Drosophila melanogaster: one gene and its partner. The protein of the gene in region 2 interacts with the protein of the main gene of each other region in a biochemical or structural test. Each region holds a gene or a part of one and is shown on either strand. Other genes may lie near its edges. The genes, in order: numb and pon.

What was found.
Region 1: the proteins of pon (region 2) and numb are reported together in a solved structure, tested with the Drosophila melanogaster proteins (one study listed by BioGRID).

Annotation. Positions count from the first base shown.
Region 1 is NT_033779.5:9,445,403-9,456,317, forward strand, and holds the start of numb (numb), read left to right. Parts: upstream 1-4,427; 5' UTR 4,428-4,979; intron 4,980-5,193; 5' UTR 5,194-5,218; intron 5,219-10,915.
Region 2 is NC_004354.4:4,631,229-4,642,193, forward strand, and holds pon (partner of numb), read left to right. Parts: upstream 1-5,089; 5' UTR 5,090-5,224; coding exon 5,225-5,689; intron 5,690-5,883; coding exon 5,884-7,431; 3' UTR 7,432-7,884; downstream 7,885-10,965. Other genes in the region: Alms1a (alstrom syndrome 1a), read right to left, coding at 440-502, 586-734, 792-1,518, 1,590-2,596, 2,650-4,672; CG3081 (uncharacterized protein), read right to left, coding at 8,097-9,848; CG3062 (uncharacterized protein), read right to left, coding at 10,140-10,424, 10,605-10,914.

The DNA of each region.
Region 1 (10,915 bases), on a different chromosome or scaffold from region 2:
ACAAATTGGATGCGTGATGGCTAAGCGAGAGCTGAGCCACAATTGATATATTTATAGTTATGGCCAATAGGGACCCCCCTGTAACTTCATTTTACTTTCGACCAAATGGGCGAAAGTCAGCTTGCTTAATATTTCTCAAAAGCAATTGGATAAATCTTTTGTGCCTTAATGACCTTACATACAAATACCTGAGCTCTTCAACAGAAACGGAAAATTAATTAGCAGCCATGGGAATATCCGAGAAAAGTGCTCGGAATTTATTCGCGGCGAACTTAGTCTGAAATATTTTCACTGGCATTCTCAACTGGCTGTGCCCTAATTAAATTAAATTAAATTCCAATAAAATCATGTTTGGTTCACACGATGCTCAACCCTTCAAGGTTTCGGTGTCCTCTAATGCTGGTATTTATTCTATATTTTTATTGCAATCCTCTATTTATGGCCTCTAATCCGTTAAATGCTTTTTAATTGCATCTGCAACCTTATCCCGGGGACACTTGAAAATTTCAGTTCGCATCGGCAGGGAAAAGTGGGCGGGCTAGGGGCAGAAAATATAGTTTGAAAAGAGGGTGGTTGAGAGGGCGTGAGCAACCCCAGGCTAATTGGTTGGGCGTGAAATTTGTGAGTTTAATTTTTTAGGACTCGGTTAGCTGTCAACCCCTGAAAAATTAAGGACCCCTACAATTTGGCACTGTGGGAGACGAAATTGATAAAGAACCGAGATGCAATCAGCCAAAGTAAACCACTTTTTATCGGCTTAAAATAACATTGGTTAGAAAGTCCGCCAAAGCAAAAAAAAAAAATATCCATAAGATAAATAAGTAGGGTTACAATTAAACGAATTTAATTTTTAATTTTATGATGTCTTTAACCTAAAATAATATACTTGAGTAATGATGAGTGTGACAATAATGGTGTTTTTTGTTTTTTTCCATATATGTATGTATGTAGTATTATTTACTAAATTGTATCTTTAAAAATAAATGTATGGCAATAGGAAGAAGAATTTGATATACAAAATCTTTTTTAAACACAATTAATTCCTATAAGCGTACATACCTTGTGATACTTTATATCCTCAGTGCAATAACTTTAAATCACTTTAAGCTTCAGTTCATTCAACCGCAAGCCGAGCTTAGCATTAACAAAAAGCTCTTTCACCTGCCCGACAAAGCTTTTAAGCCCTCGAGCCACTCAAGTTTTGCGGCTCAGCTCGGCGACGTCTCAAGAACGTACTCAAGAAACGCTCATAAGCAATAGGCTAAAAGAACACATTTACTTGGCCAAACACATACATAGACATACACACATGCAGTTTTAAATTAAAAACAAATTGCGAACACGAGACAAAATATGTTAGAGCTGTCATGACCCTAATGACCGTGGGAACTTTTTTATAAACGTCACTGACATTGTCAGCTGAGTGCCCAAGTGTGAATGTGCATGCATTGGGTGTAAGCAGGCTCTTAAGTTTCTTTTAAGAGAGACTTGAGTTCAAGCATTGCCAGATTAAAAACATTTTTAAAATTTTGTAACGGAAACAGCAGCTTAAATAATAACTTTAATAACTGCTTTAATACTCTATTTATAATAAAGAATATTTTTTTCATTTCAGCTTTTTCAAGGCACCTTAAACTAATACAAGGTAAGCAATTTCAAATATTTTTTTCAACGAGAGAGAGAGAACGAAACAACAAACAAGTTTTTTTCCGTAATATATTTTTAACAATTTTTCCTAAACCCAAAATGGAATTAAATCATCACAGTTAATATACAAACCTTTAAAAAATCACAAAAACTAAATTACCTTGAATCTTGATTATCAAAACATTGGGTTAATCGATTATTCATCACCCCCTTCGAATTGTCGCAAAATTATTTCAATTATTGCCCAACAATTGATTTGTTAATCTTCTTGTCTGCAAATGGAAATCCTTAACAATTGACCCAGCAATTTGTATGAGTAATTGGCTTCTTAATCGCAATTACAGGCCAGATTGGGTTCAATTCGAGTGAATTGATTCGGTTTGGATTACTCATGCCAACGTATTAGACTGTGTTTGAGCGTATTTGTTGCCATTTGTTGTGAGCCTTTCATTGCGGCATTTTGCGCATTTTGATTGAAATTTTGATTAGGTTGCACATGTGGCTTTTGTCTGCCCCGCAGCTCCATTGACTGACATTGATTTCTCAGCTTATGGCCATTTCCCTATTTCTATGCTTCCCTATGCTTCTTCCGTTTTCCCCTTTCCCCCATTGTCTGGCATTATCTTTTGTCGGTTCATACCAGCGGAGCTGGAATTATTTGTCTGCGACGGGAGGTGGGTGGGTTGTCTGGGATCTGGGGTCTCCTCATTCAGTGCTAGCTGTTTTCATTATGGTTTATCTAAAAGTGTCGAGTAATGTCTGTAATGGCTTTAACACATTTAACACACGGAAAAAGGCATAACCGTCTTTAATTTTAACGTAATGGAGTCAAATGATAATGGACATAAGCTTTATATAACTAACATCTTCTCGTGTTTTGAGTAAATCAATTCATAAGTATGCACTTATTATGGTTAATTTTGATTTTATTACTTTTTGAATAACTTATCCCAAGCTCGAAAAAGTTTGAAAATTTTATGTCATCTTTTAATGAAATTTGGAAATATTTGTATTATTAAATGATAGCAATAAGAATTTACATTTTTTCTGAGTGCAAGTCTGCTTTTTTCATCAGTTGCAGCACTTTGTTTTTTCTGCATTTAAATTGCGATAATGTTGGCGCGATTGGGTGCCATGTGTAGGTAGCAATGGTTTGCTCCCAATAGTTTTGATACCATTCTTTTTACTACCTGATTTTATGGGCTACCTGGATTAAAGTCGCTGCTGCATTGCAATTTTTCGCACGTTTCATTGCTGAAAACTCTCTTATTATCTATATGTATGACTGTCTCACGCGCACATTTGGGTATTTATCTTTCGGAGTTATCTATGTTTCTCTTAGGGTACAATTTTCTCTTAAAGAGCGAACGACCTTGCATCGCGCGCTCTTTTGTTCTACGGTTTCGATCGATCATTTTGCCATTGTTGTCACGGAATTTAGGTTGGGCAACTAATTCAAATCGATAAGTTCAATACATTGATTACCGAGCCTTGATTATTGTTCAGTTAATCAGTTTTTATTCTTTTCATTTGTTTTGTATGTCCGTTGGGATTTCATAACCACCTAGCCATCTTTTGCATTTTGTTAATAGCTAAGTCTTTGGTAACTCTCTTTGATGACTCTCTTGAGTGCCATAATCATTTCCATTCAAACCAAACCACTCGCTCTTCATACTCCATGTGGAAAAAACTGGCAGCTGCAGAACCAACGAAACCAACTGGTTTTGAATGCCCTTCTATCACTTCAATGGGGTATCTCAAATCCTGATTTCGAAGACAAAAAAATTTTCGGGATTAGTAATTTTTATTACGCAAGTTTTTAAAGATAACATCCTTAAAACTTGTAATTTTTACACCCGTGCAAAATTCATAATTTATTTTACAAAGTTTCCAAGAATTTGAGCGCTGCTAAAGAAAGACGACTAAAGACAATTCCGAACTTTAAATCCAAGGCGTATGGGTTAGCGATAAATCTGAGAGCCAGAGATATTACAAAACAATAAGAGGACCTTTTTGAACTACCCGGCTTTGTAATTATCTTAGCACTGGCCCATTTGGGAAATTCCCAGAGTTAAATAATAAAATTGAGCTCGTGTTTTCCAAGAATTTTCTCAACTTATCCCAACCGCAAATCTTTTAAGCCACGGTCACCAAATCGCGATCTCTAAATGCAGCGCATCTGAGATTATACCTGGCCGAGATACCTTAAACGCCACTCTCGCTCGCTCAACTTCTGCTATCTCACTCCCACTCTTGAAAACCTACAAGCTGCAGAAACGCGTCGCAGTTTTATCATTATCACAACAAATACAAACGCAGCAGAGCGGAGGTGAGATGGAAGAAGCAAAACGACGTCGTCGTTGGTAGTAAATAAACACAATGGAACTGAGCAAATCCACAAACGTACTGGTGCACTGAAAAAATCACTTTAAAGTTTTAAGAGGACTTAACAACTTGTAATATAATAAATAAAATAAAACACTATGATAATAATGGCTTAATAGGTTGTATTAAAAGCGCGTAATAGAATAAGGCAATACCCTTTGATGACGACCTTTTCCAAATCGATAGAAAAGTAGTAAGATCACTCTTCCCTCAAAGTGATCTTAACACCACATTTAGTTGAAATCAGGGCCAATTTGTTCGATTTTTCTCAGTGCACACACACACAGGCCGAAACACCCTGTAACAGCTGTCGCTCTCTTCCGCTCTTTGCACGCTCGCACTCTTTCCTCTCGACTCAAACAGCGCTGAGCGTGCGGCCAGAGTCAGCCAGTACAGTAGAGCAATTTGAGCCGCCGCATCGAGCTAACCGCTTACCGCTTGCCGGACAAACGCGTTCCGTTTTCCCTCCGCTTCCATTCGCTTTCGGCCCACTGTCGTCGTCGGTTGTCCAAATGTCCGCGTAGGGATAGTGTAACCTTTTTCCAATTTCCGGGGGGGTCATAGTAAAAAAGTTAACACCTAAGTAGTCCAGGCCTTTTGGGCCAAGCCGATCCCAGCCATCCATTTACCGGGCACCGGGCTCTTAACACGGGGATCGTTTTAATCGGTGTCGCGTTGTCGTTATTTCGGTTTTTCGCGATTTTCCCCACATTCCGTGTGCTGTGTGCTGTGCGAGGTGTTCTTGGAATTAATAAATAGTTAAAACCGAAACGTTGGCAAAAATCCACTGAATGAGCAAGAAAGTTATATAAGGCCCGAACCGGATTTATTTATTAATTATACATACGAATGTGATCAAAACAAAAACAGACTGACAACAAAACTCGGCTTTTTGGAATATACCAAAAAAAGCAACTCAAATACAAACCGATCCCGATATATATATGGTAAATGTTTAAAACCAAAAAAAAAAAAAAAACAGTAACAACAGCCAAAGTTGAGCTTAACTTGAGCTTCGGATTTAAAGCCAAGTCAAAACGAGTTTATTGTGGTGCAAAATCAGATTTGCATATACATATGCAATTCTTTTACAGCTTTACGCTAGTTGTTGCTGCTTTGACATTTGTAAAAACATAATATTCATTTTTGTAATAATTCCAGTTTTTGACGTCTTCAATATGCATTGGTATAGAAAACTAAAAACAGCTGTTCAAACTATGTAACACTATACTAGACTTTGCTTCGCAATAAGCTAAAGTATTCAAAATACGTTTTGGGGCATTAATTTTAATAATCAGGGGGAGTATATCCATTAAGGTTATAGCGATACCAGTAATTTAGAATGAATTACCCAGCTAAAAAACTCAATAAATCTTTGCAGTTTGCACTTGAACATAGCAATTGTTGAGAGAGGGTTAACAAATGAAATATATAAACACAATTAGCAATTAGCTGATTTTGGCTGGATCACATGAACGCACATACATACATACGCACATACGTACATATATATCTAAAAAGTTACGATTGACTGGATTCTACTGGTCTCCAGTCTCTCACGTTTCCGAAGATGAATCATTTGGCATGACTACAACTCTTCGAATCGATCGTATATAAAGACTATTTAGACTATTTCAAATATAGTCCCACATTTCAGTTTAAAATCCAATGAATTTCTGCCGAAGCATGCACATATTCTTACCACAAACTCTTCTCCCAGCTCTTTTGTAAAGTTAATTTATTTTAATGTATACTGTGTGCCAAATTATTTGACTGTCAACTGCATAAATTACTGCGATAACAAACAAAACGAAGAAAAAAAAGAAAAGTGGCAAAGGCAAAATGGAAAATGGGGAAAATTTCCCATTGAAATGAGTAATGAATTGGTTTGGGGCGGCTGAGAACGAAACCAACCGAGAGTGGGTGAAAATATATTATAATAACAGTGTAATTAAATGCCAACTTGGCCCCCGCTTTCGCCAGAAGAGAGTTTTTTGCAGCCGCAAACTATGGGATACTTTTGCTTTGCATAATTATGCTGTTCAACTTGATTTACTCGGAATGTTCTTCAAGATCTTGAGTTTCCACCAAAAGGGCTCCCTGATTTATGCTGCACTTTTTTCTTTTTTTTTTGGTAGCAATGCTTTGCAGCCTGGTCAGATTATAAATCTCAGCAGTTCATAAAAACTTCAGGCAAAAAGCTCCAGCAAAAACCATTCAGAAACATTCCAAGAAAAGCCAGAAACACGAACGAAAAAAAAAACTGGTAACAAGCCGAGGAAAAAAGTAAGAACATAATGCTACCTGGGTGCAGTTGGACTTGAGTTAAGCCAACTCTGGGATGGTGGAGCCGCGTCGAATGGAACCGGTTTGGTGGCTGGCTGGCAGCCAGCCGACTCCAACTTTTCTCACATGCCTTTCGATTATGCCAAGTCGACTGCATTCTTCGAGACGCGGCTTTCGCTAAACGTTTGGCTAAGACCGAGCTCTCAGCTCTCAGCTCCAAGCTCCAGCGCCCCATCCTCGAGCTCCATCCCATCGCTCTGCAAGTTCAACACTCAGTCGAGGAGTTAGACCTCAACTTCAACTTCAACTTGATCGCTGCCTCGGCTGTGGCTGCATAAAACTTTAATTTCATGGAATTTCCTTTCTATTTTTATGCTGCAACGCCGATGATTAACAACAGCAGCAGCAGCCAGCCAGCCAACTGCCAACAAAGAGAGACGTTGGACAAGTCAAGAACACGGGAACAAGTCCAAGACCAAGTCTAACTCCAAGTCATGGCTGCCAGCTAGAACTTCAACTTCTGGGCCATTAACTTAGCTCTGGAGACGGGACACAGCGGGCATGTGGCACCTGGCATTCTACATCTAAGGCAGGAAATTAAAAATGCAAAAAATTGGATAATTATGCATGTAAACGTTTTGTCATTAAGTTGATACTTAAATGCTGCGTCGATTAACAGGCAGATTTTAATAGAAAATAACGCTATTAAATCGGCCTAGAAGACACGGGGATTCCTTTAGGTGTCCCCACTTGTATTTCTTTTATAAAAACCACTTGCAATTGCTTTGAAAGTCTGCAAAAAATTACAATTATGAACCTTAAAGGGTATTAGAGAGTTTGTAACTTTTTGTTTATACTTGGCATTTTTCTTGCCTGCCAATAGCTAACTAGCCGTAAAGCTGAACAGCAAACATTTCGCATTAATGCCAAAAACTTTTCTCGCCTCTCGAAGACCCGACTAAGTCGACACGCCAACTTGGTAATAACTTGGCCTTGGCTTGGCTAAGTTGGCCAAAGCCGCAGCGCCTTAAGAATGTCAAAGGGCATGCTTGGATATGATTACGAGAATTTCCGTTCCTAGCTCCTTTTTTATTGCCTTTAATGAGCCAGTTCAATTTCCGGTCTGTCAGCTGGTTGTGCGCTGATAAAGGATTAATCTTATATAGAAACTATAGTTTGTCAAATTGTGTATGTAATTACTTTAGCTCTGATATAAAATTCTATTGAAATAGAACGTTTATTTACCTATGCCAAATTCTTATATGTAACCCAAATACCGTGACACACCTGTTCGCCTGGCTTATTAGGCAAATAGGGGACTATTTGCGCCAGTATTACTGCGCCCCCACAAAAAACACTAGGATGGCTTCTTTTGGCAAGTATATGGGTTGTTTGTTTAGTTTCCTATCGATTATTTTCATTGGGTATTTGCACTGCCTACTTTTGGGCGCCTGGCACCCGGAAATTGCTAAACCAATTGGCCAACAGCTGTTTTGTGTGATGTCTATTTGCCTGGCGTCGACAGAAGACGAGCGTTGACAATTGGAACAGAGAAAACTAACGTGGTTACACTTTTGTGCGCCATAAAATTGATTTGACTCTCCTCCTCCTTCCCCCTTTTGACGACGAAACTATGACAATCAGAGCAGAGAATGCCACTGGAAAATAGCGGGAGACAACCGTTTGGAAAATCGTCAGGCTTGGCTGACTTTCCATCGCCTCGAATTTTGGACCACTTTGCCTCCGCGACGACCTTTGCCGCCATAAATCGGTTGGATAATCGTCTAAACTTAGCAGTTATCTAAACATAGTTGCTGGTGATGTCACGTAACTTTCCACAAAACTTGTAAGCAAACAAATTCTCCTGTTGTTTTGCTTATCGCAAAGTCACATTTTGAAAAATCCCTTTCCCATTTTAAAACTGTCAGATAAAAAAGAGCTCTTTAGCCAGTTTTACGTTTGCTTCTGTCTGGGAAAGAAAAATATTACATCTTGTGTACTTTGATTACACGACGTTTGCTGGAGATCAACATTTGGATAAATACTTAGGAAATTAAACTACTAGTGCCTTTAAAAATCTTGTTTTGTAATCTAATATATTTTTCTGTCACATCGAAGCATTTGTATCAAGTTTCCAGGGTCATTACAAATTCAGTATAAGGATTGAATAAATTCAAATAAGCTTTGGTTTGGCTATTGTCTTAGGAATTTGTTTTCAACGCATTATACATTCTTGTGCATATTAAATTAGTTCTTAGTATTCCCCAGTGATTTTCCTCTACGATTTTCCCTCGCTTTATGAGTTATGAATGCGTAATGGTAAATGTGCCTTGGATGAATGATTGGTTGTTGAAAATTTCTCTGTGTTTCTCACCTTTGGTCTTCATTTCTTCATTGAATTGCATATTTTAATGGCTATAACGTGTCGCACGGCTCGGAAACAGGTTCCCCGAAAAATTCGGTTAACTTTTGTTAAGTTTGCCACAGCGCGTTGAGTCATTGAAATATTTATTTGCATAATGAGTGTAAACAGAAAGCTTGTAAGCGTGGTTCGCAGAAACAAAATCGTACGCTCACAAAAGTGGCTAAAGTCGAATGTAATTACCGTCGCATCTGCCGGCTGGCGAGCAAACAAAGGATAACAAGGATCTTCGATCGTCCTGTTGAGACACGAACCAAACGATTCCGTTTACCTGGAAATTCGGAAATCGTAGCAAATCGAAGTCACTATGCTGAGAACAGACGGCGGCATGTGCGCGAGTCCGAGTACCCACTTAACCAGAGAATCCTTCGAGAATCCTTCGCCACGTGCACCGAGCCATATGGCAGGATCCTGGTAAAAGGTGCGAAAGAGACAGAAAGCCGAACAACAACTGCCGGCAGGGGCTGCATTCGTTTCAAACGACAGATGCAAACTATTTCGAAGTTGTTCGAATTGTGACCCGCTTGCATGTCTCGTGTTCGCCAGGACAGAACACTTCTTATAAGGTATATTATGTATGGATGTATGGATGGTACATATACTACCTACCTCCACTCCACAAACTCACATGTGTATAGCTCGCAGGCGTGCCTATTGTTTTTATTTTTTCTGTGCCTGCATTTCTACTTCCGTTCGTCGGGTTTTTGAGGTTTCTCTCAAGTGTTTTTGTGCTGGAAATGCTCGTATTGGAGTTTGTTTTGTTAAAGGATGTGGTGGAACAGTTAGGATTGTATGTATACATATTCCACATATCGATTTCCCAATTTCATGTACTCTGATAAGGATAAACTTGTACATAAATGCACTTTTAGAGATGCATTTCTGTCTTTCTTTTTTATTAACAATAATAATAGAATTTGTACCAGACAGTCGCATTTATTTTCTAATATTTGCATCCTGCCAGCATCCCTAGTCACCTTTTTTTTTCTCACACTTACCTTTTCCCACACCCCCCGCCAATTTTTCGATAATTCCCATATAGAACCATATATGGCAGACACATAATGGTCAGATCAACGCCCAATTGACAGCTAATAATTATGCGCAGCATACCCTAGTATTTTGCTCAATGGCAGGAACCCCTGCGCCCGACGACGCCGCTGTGCAATTAGAACCCTGCCTGCCTGCATAGGACATGGGTGCATAGGAATTCCCTCCCCCCAATCTTCTAGTGCTTTAACATTTTAGGGGTGCATTTGGGTCAGCGTGTGAAATACCTTTGCATCCGTGCGTAAAGTAACCCAAGCTAGCGATCGAGATCGAAGAATCCTTCATGCGAAATCCCACGGAGTTCAAGAAACTCTTTTATTCTAGCAATTATTTCTTACCCTTTCTTGGCTTCTATACCCATTGTCATTGTTTTTGGATTTATGTACGAGAAGATGTTGCTGAGTTTGAACAGCTAAATTGCGTCACCGGAAAAAAAAAATCGCATGCTTCCCTTAAGAATCCACAAGTATTCGCCAGATGCTGTGCGATCTTTTGTTGCTGTCTCATTATTTCCGTTTAAACCATTTTTCGGCTTTTTGGCTGCGAATTCTTTGCGCACTTCCTTTAAAGTAACCAAACAAACCGGGCAAAAAGCAATGCTAGCTGTTTTCTCTAAAGATTTATTATCCGGTGAACTTTTTAGGTTGCCCAGATGTTTGGCTGCCTTAATACTTCTCCACTTTTCCCCAGCGGTGCTGCTTGCTGGGGGCTTCAGATACTATTTAGAAAAGCTCATTGGAATTAACTTATATGACTCCATAGGGGCTAACCTGCAATTTATGTGGGCTAAGTAAGATGCGACAAATTTTATTGCTGGCCAAAGTTTAGCGCTTGGGTTCAAATTAGAAAAATAAAGATGGATTTTGATATTTGCAGTATTTAAAATAGTAATTAGATAGTATGATAGTGTATGTTCATATATTTCATTTATTAATTTATCATTATTAATGTTAATCACAAACATAAATATTCACAAAATCCTTTGGAAATCTACCTGGACAAATTTGATACGCAATTTCCGCTCACAAAATCCTTGAAGTCATGCCTCATTGCACCTTATTGTGGTGGCTAATTGAAGTCATTATCGTTCAGCTCCCGCTACCCATAAAAAATGTAAAATACACG
Region 2 (10,965 bases):
CAGCTGGAGTAACAGGTATCTGATAGTCGGGGAACTCGACTATAGCAGTCTCTCTCTCCTATTAATTTGTTCAAAATGCCATTACATTTTCCTAAAGTACATATTGAGATGATAATCAATAAAATATCAATAAAAATATAATATATAATATATATCGATCGTCAACCCGTGCTCAATTTATTTCTTTTAAAAACATTACAAATTTAGTCAAATGCTAAATCAACATAGTTTTCTATGTTTGGAGTTAACTGGCCGTCTACATTAAATTTAAACATTACGTATGGACTAAACCATACGTGCTTCGGGATTTAAACAATTGTGATCAATTAAAAGCTATAGAAAAATACAAAGCCTAGCACTGGCAATAGCATAATAATGAAAAACTATAACTGGTGGGTGTCATTTCGGTGGCTGTGGAAAAATCCTGATTCGATCTTCTCTACATGATTGCCATGCTGTGATTCAGGGATATCTGTCCGCTGGCCACGCGACTTTTGAGGCGCTGTTTGGATAAATGGGATTTAGGAATTTATGAGATTTTAAATATATGGACAAATCGGGTTGAATGGGTGTTCATTGTCTGACCTTGTTGAAGACATCGCGCATCAAACGATTGGAGCGACGTCTCTGCTCCTCCTCCTGGCGACTTTGGGCGGCCAACACTTCCGGCAAATTTTTGCACCGTTTGGAGGTTATCGCCTTCATTTCCCTGGTGGTAAATAACCTAACTCGAGCTGCAAGTTAAGAAATGTAGTTATTATTCGGACTTCGGATTCCATTTGATATCTTACTATTGGCTGGTGGAGGCAGCTGCTCCAGATGCCTGTTCAGCGCCTCCATGCTGGTACTCTGGCTCAAAACATTGTCCAGCTCCTGGCGCCGAGCATTGCGAATCATCTGCATCTCATTAAGTATGGCCTTGCGCTGCTTGGCATTGGCACAGAATTCGGGACGAGCCAGCTGCAGTTGATCCTGCAGGGAGGGAGGTTTCTCAATCACCTCACTGCTGCCCGTCGGCGTAAACTGGATGACATAGGATATAGCACGTGGACGCACTTGTAGCGTTTGGCGTTGCATACTCTCTGCATTCATCGTGGTCTCCTTGTGCCCTCTTCGCACCCGCTGACATGCCACATCATCGTACTGATGAGTGGTGGTCGTAGTGGTGGTCTCACAGGTGTTCATCATGCCCATGGGTACGGACATGTCCGAGCTGATGCACATCATCGAGGACGATGAATTTGTGGTGGTTGTGGTCGATCTGGTGATTGCCGAGCCTCCTGCTCCACCAGTTGCACTTGCTTCATTTTGTGTCTCTGTGCTCACCATTGTTGCTTGCACATAGCTAGCTACTCCCTGAGAGTTGACCACCTGGTAGTAGATGGCTTCATTCTTATCCGCGCCGGAGCTACCACTCTGGTGTGGAGTGGCATAGGCACTTCCCGCCGCCTGGGCGTACTGCATCTGCATATATTGCTCACGTTCATCGGGCTGCTCCTCTGCTTCCTGTTGACGCCTCTGTGAAAAAGAAAGAGATGGCTTGAGTATGAGGAAGTCGCAGGATTCCTTTTATTGGGCAATAGCCTTACCGGACAATTCTGCTGATGAATGCAAGTCCGCTGGTGACCACATTGAGCACACTGACCGCAATGTTGCTGCCTCTGTATCAATATATCTTTTTGCTGGTTCAGCTGCTTCTGCAGCTGGTAAAGTTTCTGTTGCTGAAGCAATACAAACTGTTGCTGCTGCTGGTTCTGATAATGCTCGCGGAACTGACGCTGCCTTTGCTGGACAAAGGAGCAGACACTTTCGCTGCGACCGCCGCCACTGGTAGAGCTACCTGAGACAAGTAAAGGAGTGGCCATCTTTTTACGGTTCTGCAGATTCCGCTGGTTAAGGTGAGGAGGTGGTGGTGGTGGTTGTGTCGGGGGCGGTGCTGGCAGTGTGGAAGGATCAGAATTGGTCACATTCACTCCAACCGATTCAATTCTCACTGGGGGCGGCGGTGTTGTTGTTGTTTCCGAATTTTCCATCTCTTTGCTCTCTGCTTCAGCTGACATTTCTTGTCGCAGAAGATATTCCTTGTCCGGTCGCTCCTTCTGGTCGCCCATACATCGCATGGAACTTGGAATCTGCGCAGCCGTCGCAGATTCCGTGTTTGCTTTCTTCTGCGACTTGCTGGGCAAACTGATATTTTCCAAAAGATTCTTAAATTCCTGCATGCGATTAATCTCTGTCTTGACCCAGTGGAGCTGCCTCCTTCGCTCCGAATCCGTGCCACCTTTCAAACGCTCTTCGAACTCTATTTCACTCAGGGTCATGGGATTCAGCCAATCCTGCAAATCCAAAGGCTCAATATCTGCATCCGTTGAGGCATTGCGATTCGGTATATTTGTCTTCTGGGTGATCACCTCGCCTGAGCCACTGGTTGAGCCACTGTACGATACGCTTTCAGGCAGTGGCGAAGATGATCCGATAGCTGCTCGCTTTCGTGGAGCGGGAACTGGTGGAGCAATACGTTCAGCTTTGGATGAGCTTCTCGCATTGGATTGGTTCGTATTGGTGGCCGCAACTTGCTGCAGAGAACCTGTAGGCACTGTTTAAAGTATGAATTACTACAAATGCCACCTTGTTGAAGAGTTTACTCACCCTTCAACTGCTCCTTGCTGCTGCTGCTCAGGGAACGCGAACTAGTGCTGGATTCGGTCAGTTCCAGACAGGAGATACGCCTGGCTATATCACGGACGAGTTTTTTCTTCTGTCCCTGGCTGAGGCTGCGAGATTTTACCAAAGAACACAGCAAATCGATTCCTAGATCCAATTCCCCTCCCGGTCTACTACCGGATCCAACGTCTAATGAGGTGGTTGATGTGGAGGCTGTAACGCCGGTGGAGGGATTTACTACAGGGTTCTCGGGCTTCTGGTTCTCCTTGTTCACATGCCGCCTATTGCTCCGAATTTTCTCGAACTGAGCCGCCGTGTACTGTCGCTCTTGCTCGCGCTCCTTTTCGCGCTTTTTAGCTTTTCTTTGGCCCTTCGAGAGTTGCTGGATTCCTTGCTGTTCCCTTTCCAGTTGATGATCCTTTTCATGGCGCTGTTCAGCTTTCCTTTGGTCTCTCATGAGTGGCTGAATTTCTTGCTGCTCCCTTCCCGAATGATGATTCTTGTCCTTTAGTTCTCTTCCCTTTGGTTCCCCTTGTTGCATATCATTTTGGTGCTGCTCTTTTTCCAGTTGCTTCTTTGGCTCAACCTCCATCTCTTGTTGTCTCCTTTGATTGTGTTTGAGCACCTCGACTTCCTGCGCCATATGCATGTGATAATCAAAGCTACTGGCCGACAAACTGCCGTACACCGAGTTGGTTTGTGATTCCCGCCTTGAACTGGAACGCGAGCTCTCCACCCTTGAGCTGACTTCTGATCCCAATCTGGAGCTATTTGGCGAGTTGAGCCTGGAGTCGTCTCTTCTGTAACTGCTCAGCGATTCCCTCCGCGAGCTACTCACCGATGGCCTGCGAGAACTTATCTGTGGATCTTGTACTCGCGAACTAATCCTTAAATCGTCTTTCTTACGCCTGTCAATTGATTCTTCTTCTTCCATTATGGAGTCAATTTCGGTATCATTTCTATTGTAACTGCATTGGGTACCTTCTGTTGTAAAATTTCCACGAATATCTTTTGCTTCAGAACTGCCTTGGGTTGACTCCTTTTGCGAGCTGCTGCGACAGTCCGTCTGACAAGAGCTAACTTCGGAATCCTGTCTCCTGGATTTACGTTGGCACTTCTTTCTAGGATCTCCTTTATTGGAGCTCAATGAACTTTCCATTCCAGAGTTTAGAGACTTCGTGCGTTCGCTGCGATTGACAAACGTGCTGCAAGCCAGTGGCGGCGTTGGCTTATCCAACATTGGTGACGGTTCCTCGGCCAAAAGGGGCTGCACTCCATCCAAATTCGCCTCGGGTCGCTGCTGTGTTGGCTGACGCCAGCTGCAATCCTCCAAAACGGATCGCTCCAGCGTGCTGATGTTACTCATGGACATTGCCCTCTTGCAGTAGCCCACATCGGCAGAAGGATCCCACTCCAGGCGTTTGTGTGACTTAAGGACAGACTCTGGTGTCTGCGTTTTTTTGTTTTGCATCTGGGGCGACTTGGTAGGTGTGCGTATGTCCTCCGCGGATTGGGACATGGTTTGGGTGACTGCTACGGAACGAAAACTGGGGCTACTGGCCAATACAATAGGAATTATAGTGTATTCATTCGGTTTCGTCTTAGTTACTTCCGATTTCGGTGATGTGAACTGACTGATTTTGTGCTTACTGGGTGGTGGTGAAACTGACAGTTCCCGGAGCTGTTCCTTTGCTTCCCCCCGTTCGTCAGGTGAACGATGATCGCTGCTCTTCGTGCGACGCCTGTGGCCTGATTCTGGTCGCGATTCATGTTCCATGGAGGCACATCCTGGCGGCGGGACTGATCCCAGGGCACAACTGTGGGTGCTGCCACTGGCTCCACTGCTTGCCGTCGACGAAAGGGCCATGAATCGATCTAATTCCCGGTCCGTGGCCATTGCGCTGATATATTCCCTAGCTAGTGGAGGAACGCGGGATGATTCCGCCAATTTGTTATGGCGAGAACCGGACATCATCACCTTTCCGACTGCTCCTCTCTTCGCTCTCATGGTCGAAAAAGTTTATTCCCCTTCAATATGTCAGTTCGCCACATGGAAGCAGCGTTAGAAACTAGTTTGATGTGACGCTAAAATCATTCGAAAACAAATTGAGCCACCTGATATCGAAAGTTATCGCCTATCGGTGGCGATAGTTGGTTAGATGCCTTTGTTATCGATATCGATTATTTTGGTTAAAATTACATTACATTACATTTTCCTAAAGTACATACTGAAATGTTAAAATCAATGAAAAAAGCATATATAATATATATACTATTATGTACATAATTCAAATAAAGCATTTGGTTAGTTGATACAAGTGAATAAGTAAAAAATTTTATTAACAGCAATGTAATATGGGATTAACAGGGCCTATTGAGAACCGGTTCGGACGCAGTGTTGGCTAACGATGCAACCGGTTCCGGTTGTCTGTGGATTTTCAAAATGGCATTTGGTGTCGTACTGCGTTGTTTATAATTGCTCCTCGCTGCTCTAGAAAAACAATTTGAATCTGATTAAAGAAACTTAAGATATACACATCGACTTGTGATCGACTGAATAATGCTGGAGACGAAGAGCATAGCTGCATTGGCTTTCACGGAGACGCCGCGCAAACGCAAAAGGGAGACGCTCTATAAAAATGCTGCCCCGCCCCCGAATCCGCAGCAACAACCCCCAGAAAAGGACGCACAGGATGCAGCTGTCGCGTCGACAGAATCCTGCTTCACCAACGCCGCCTTCAGTTCCACGCCCAAGAAGCTAATGGTGGCTCGTCGTCGTTTGGCCAAGGAGAATAGCCAACCCAATCCGTTTCCCGGCTTGGAGGTCAAGTCCATAGCTGATCTGGCCCAGAAGCAGCAGCACCAGCAGCATCATCAGCAGCAGCAACAACAACAACAAAAGCTACCCACGAATCCTTTTGAGGTCCTGCGCCAGCCGCCCAAGAAGAAGAAGCGCGAGCATGCCTGCTTCGAGAATCCTGGCCTGAATTTGGAGCTGCCCGAGAAGCAGTTCAATCCATATGAGGTGAGTTCACTAGTCTAATCGTACATGGATGTACTTTTTGTCGCAGTTAAGTTACAGTAGAAATCATTCATATGTGTTTGTTTTCTAAATAAAACAATATCTTTATAATCTATATATTAAAAACTACATAAAAATCATACATTTATTATATATAGCTATAGAATATTATTATAACTCAGCCATAATATTTTTAGGTCGTCCGCTCGGCAACCACGCCCGCCAAGGGCTTCGTGAATCCTGCCCTGAATTTGCGCGGCAGTGATGCGCCGGCCTCGCTCAATCCCTTCGAGATCCATCGGCCCAGCGAGGCGTCCGAGGCAGCCTGCAATCCCTCGGGTGTGGCCAATCCGGCACTGGCCGATAGGGATTCGGAGGAGCAGCTGCCCACCAGCCTGAAGATCGGCTTGCCATTCACGCCAACGCTGGGCTGTCGCATCGATTTTCACGGCATGTCCCTTACGCAGCTAACGCCTAGCAAGCTGCTGGCCGAGAAGCTGGTCTTTTCGCCCGTTCCGGCGCCCAAACGATCGCTGGGCGCCATCAGCGAGGAGTCGTCTATGGACATTGGCAAGGAGCTGGATCGCTATCAACTGGAATTGGAGAACAGCATCAACGAGGCGAAGCTACGGAAGAATGGCGTGCTGGTGGATAGAGAGTTGCCCAGGAATAGCTTGGAGGTGGAACTGCCCAAGAACACCAAGGTCTCCTTGGTCATGGAGACCAATACGCAGGAGCTGATGATGCAGGAAGTGGTGACGGTGGACACTCAAGTGGAGAGGCGTCTGGTTTGCACCAGACGACGCACACTAACCGAGATTAGCGAGGCTTCCGAGGTGGAAGAGGACACGGAGAAGCTGCTCGAGCAGGACCGCGAAGCAGAGGTGATTCTCGAGCAGGAGAAGATTCTAGAGCAGGAGATGGTCTCAGAGCGGGAACGACATTTAACGAGGGAGAAGCAATTGAAGCAGGAGAAACTCCTAGAGAGGGAAAAACATTTGGAGCGAGAGAAGCTGCAGGAGAAGCTGCACGAGCAGCTCAGGGAAAAGCTCCAGGAGAGGGCCAAGCATCTGGAGAAGGAGAAGCTGGAGGAGGAGGAGCTCCTGGAAAGGCAGCTAGAAGAGGAACGGGAAAAGGAGCCAACCGACGGCGATGTGGCCTATGCCTCCGAATCCGAATCCGACGACGAGCCCGATGATCTAGACTTCAAGGCACCCGCGCGCTTCGTTCGCGCCTACAGACCCGCCGCTCTGCCCTCCAAGGCGGCCAGCAAGGAGTCGCTGCAGTCCATCGGATCAAGCAAGTCCGCCAAATCGGCAGAAGTTAAGCCCAGTATCGGAATGAAAGGCATGATAAGAAAGTCCATTCGAAGACTGATGCATCCCACGTCGCACACCACGCCATCCGAGGTAAAGTCCGAGGACAAGGATGAACATGGACATGGACAGGGCCATGGACAGCACAACATACTCAATAGCATTCGGCACAGCCTGCGCAGGAGGCCACAAAAGGCGGCCGAGTTGGAGGAGCAAATGGAGCCCGTTCTCGCCGACGTCTCCATTATCGACACCAGCGAACGGACCATGAAGCTCCGCTCGAGCGTTGCCCAAACCGAGTACATGACCATCGAGCAGCTGACCAACGAGAAGAAGCACTCACTGCGGAACAGCATTAGGCGGTCCACGCGGGACGTGCTGCGCCATGTGTTCCACAAGAGTCACGATGCCTATGCAACCGCCAAGTGAGCAGGTTGGCTCCACAGATTCAATTGGTGCGTCGATTTTTAGGGGATTTCAAATGGCATTTCTGTAACCGAAAGCATTTAAATTTATTTGTTATTATTTTTGAAATGCGCCTTCCCCTTGTTGAATTGACCCAATTGACTTCTTTTCAATTCGATTTTTCAGCACCTAGTTAAGTTTTTAATTGCACCCAAAGATTGTCACACAAGACCAGCGAAAAAAGGAAAGGAAACCTTATTTCATCTGAAAACCACATCATCACCTAGTTTTTAATCAAGTTTTTTTTCTTAATTTTTCAAGCGAACTCTGCAAATTAATTTGCACACTGTTTATAGTTTTAAGTTACTTGATGTTTGCACGTTTATTCATATATGTATGTATGTATGTTTGCCCATATATCTTTATATATATATATATATATGCTTTCTAATATATATAACATTTGTTTTTTTATACATAAACGTGTGATTTCCTATTCTTGGACCGATTTTTCCGACTAATTTGTGTGTACAGATGCATCAATTTAATGCTAATGACTAGCAAACATTTAAGTTGATAAGTTAATATACTTGCTTAGCTTATGGACATTTTTGTATAGCTTTCAATTATTCATTATCCCGTTTGTCCGGACATTTCTCTCTTGAGCGGACTGCCATCCTGGAGCACACCTACTTGTAGACAGTTTGGAGAAGGGGTCGCCGCCGCTGGTCGATGGGCTTGTAGGCGTGCTGATAGACACTGGCCAATCGCCAGTGCTCTGGATAGCCGCCCTGACCCGCTCCGCCCGCTTGGCTTTGGAAGGGCGGCACCAGGGTTTCGATGTCGTAATTCTTTTTGGCATACGGCTGCCGGGGGCGTGGCACCACCAGAACCCTACCACCGCCACCGCCACCTCCTCCGCAGCCCGGTTCTATTCCCACGAAATCACCGGAGGCATTATGCTTGGGCACTCCGGCGCGAAATGCCGCCTTACTGGTCAAGCAATGTCCGTGTCCGTGTCCATGTCCATGGTGATGACCATGTCCGCCGAACGATGGGGGACAGCATCTGGGAGCTGGAGCCACCTTGTGGCAGAGACGTCGAGCTGGACGCCGGAGGAGAACGTCTCGCTTGCATGGTGGACCACCCGTTGGCCGGCAATCCATGGCCCTGCAATCCTGTCCAGAGTCCGGACCCAAATATTTCTCCCTCAAAGCCTGGTAGGCTTTGTCGCCCAGCAGGGGTGACGATTGATACTGCTTGGCTAGACGATCGGGCATCCCGCGACCGGGTAGCTCCGCCAAATTGCCGAAACTCACACCGCCAGTTGGACCGCCGATGCCCGATCCTCGCCTGCAATGCGATGCACTGGAATCGCGGGAGACACTGCGTGCTCTTTGTCTGGCCGGTGGCGAGTAGTCGCAGGCGCACGGATCCTCGCGATCCACACGGGCACCGCCAAAATCCGTTCGCTTCCTCAGGATGTCCTTGTCGAAGAAATCGGCCTCACCAAGCGTGCTGGTGAAGACGCCAGCCGATCGGCCCAAGTCCGAGGACTGTTCCTCGCGAGGCGTTTTCACGCAGGTGAAGACAGCCGGTCCAGCGGAGTCATTGGAGCCATCTATGTGCCTGGCCAGGCGCGGCTCATCCGATGGATTCGCCGGCTTGAAGTCCCAACAAATGGCCAAATCCATGGGTCCCATCTTTTTGGCCGGAGCGGAGCCAACACCTCGAAAGGCATCGCCATTGCCGAGGGCACGTGGCACGATGCCACCGCCGGTCTTCGGACGAAAGACCTTCATCTTGGTGCAGTGCGTCGGACCAGCATTGTGCGTTTTCACACCCACGCCCGTGGCAATGGGATCGATTTCCAGGGCCAGGCCAGCATGTCCGCCGGATATTTGCGCTCGCCGGAATGCCAAATCGGCGACGCAATCGGGCAGCGGCTGGTGGTCCAAATTGTCCTGGTGCATCCGTTTGGCCAGCTCGAAATTGGCATATGCCGGCACCACTGGCGATGGACACCGCTCGTTGGGCTTCTCCGTGATCGAGTGCAGCGGCATCTTCTTGATCAAATCGGGTTCGGATACGGATACGGGATCGAGATCAAAGCTTCGTATACCCACCGTCGGCAATGAGATTAGATCCTTGCCCGGCTCCAGGCACGCAAAGCTCAACTCGCTGCTGCGCTCCAAGTGATCCGTATAGCGATTTTGGGCCGCTGCCAATGCCGGAAATTGACGACCGGCCGCCGAGCCCAGCTGCTCCCTGTACTTGATGGGCTGCGTGTCGCGCGTGTCCAAGGTGAGACGACCAAGTGGCACGCTGTCCGTGCTGTTGCGTTTCTGGTCGAGGAGCTCCTGGTGCGAGGGCAGCCGGAACTGCGGCTCTGTTAGGTCGCCCGGCGTGTAGCTCAGTTCCGGGAGAGCTGTTTGCGACATGATTGGATGGAGTAATGGAGTAGGTGGCTTTCAGGTTCGTTCACTTGTTGCAATGCGTTGGTGGTGCAGAATGGAATGGGATGAGATAAGATGGAGATGGAGATGGAGATGATAATGATGTATGATTTATGTACATATGTAACAGATGGTTTAACCTGGGTTTAGTTATAAAATATATATGCTATATGATTTGTGTTGAGTGCAATCGTGCTGCCCTTTAAAATGTATTTTAAACCTGCGGTTACAATGAATTTGATTTGAATTTCGGTTGAACAAAATAATGAAGTTTTACTAATGGCCCTTCGCCGCCTTGCGCTCTTTCTCCTTGCCCTTATCCTTCGTCTTATCCTTCTTGCCCGCCTCCTTGTCCTTTGGCTTGTCCTTCGGCTTGTCCTTGGGAGTGGCGACAGTCGCCGCCGGTTTCTCCGACGATGGAATCGGCTTGGTCAGCTCATTGGGATGCAATGCCGTTCGTCCTTTGGAAAAGGCGGTTATGGTGCGCTTTCGACGCCGCTTTTCGGTGGCCACACCCGTCGTCTTGATTGCCTTCGGCGTCATCTTCACGGTTTTCTCGCTCTACGGTTGCAGGTGAATGTGAATGTGAGTGTGCAGGGTGCAGGATGAAAGTGCAAAAAGTGCAACCAGAAATGAAAATATGTATAGCTTGGTTGCAGATAACTCAATAATCTGGGTGCACATAATTGGTAAGAGGTGACACCGATGGTGACCCCGATGGTGACCCCGATTCCCACTCACCACCACGTCGCACTTGGCCCGATTGCAGCGCGCACTCCGCTCGCTCAACGCCCTCAGCTTCTGTAGTCCCTCGCACTTCGTCTGGCACCGTTCGCGCATCCAGTAGGGATCGTCCTTGTGGCCCAAGGTCAACCGCTGATCGCAGGCCAGTGCCCTGCGGTTCTCTCGCTGACAATTGCACAGGTCACGCGGAAAGTCAACAAACTTGTACCGCCCACTCAGACAGGCATCGTAGTGGGCGCAAAAGGCACGGGTTATTCGACGCGGTAGCTCGTAGGTTCCACGATATTGGCCAAATGAGTTGCCCTCCCTGTGGATTAAAATTAAACTGTATAATTGTGGGGCATTGGCAATTGCTTAC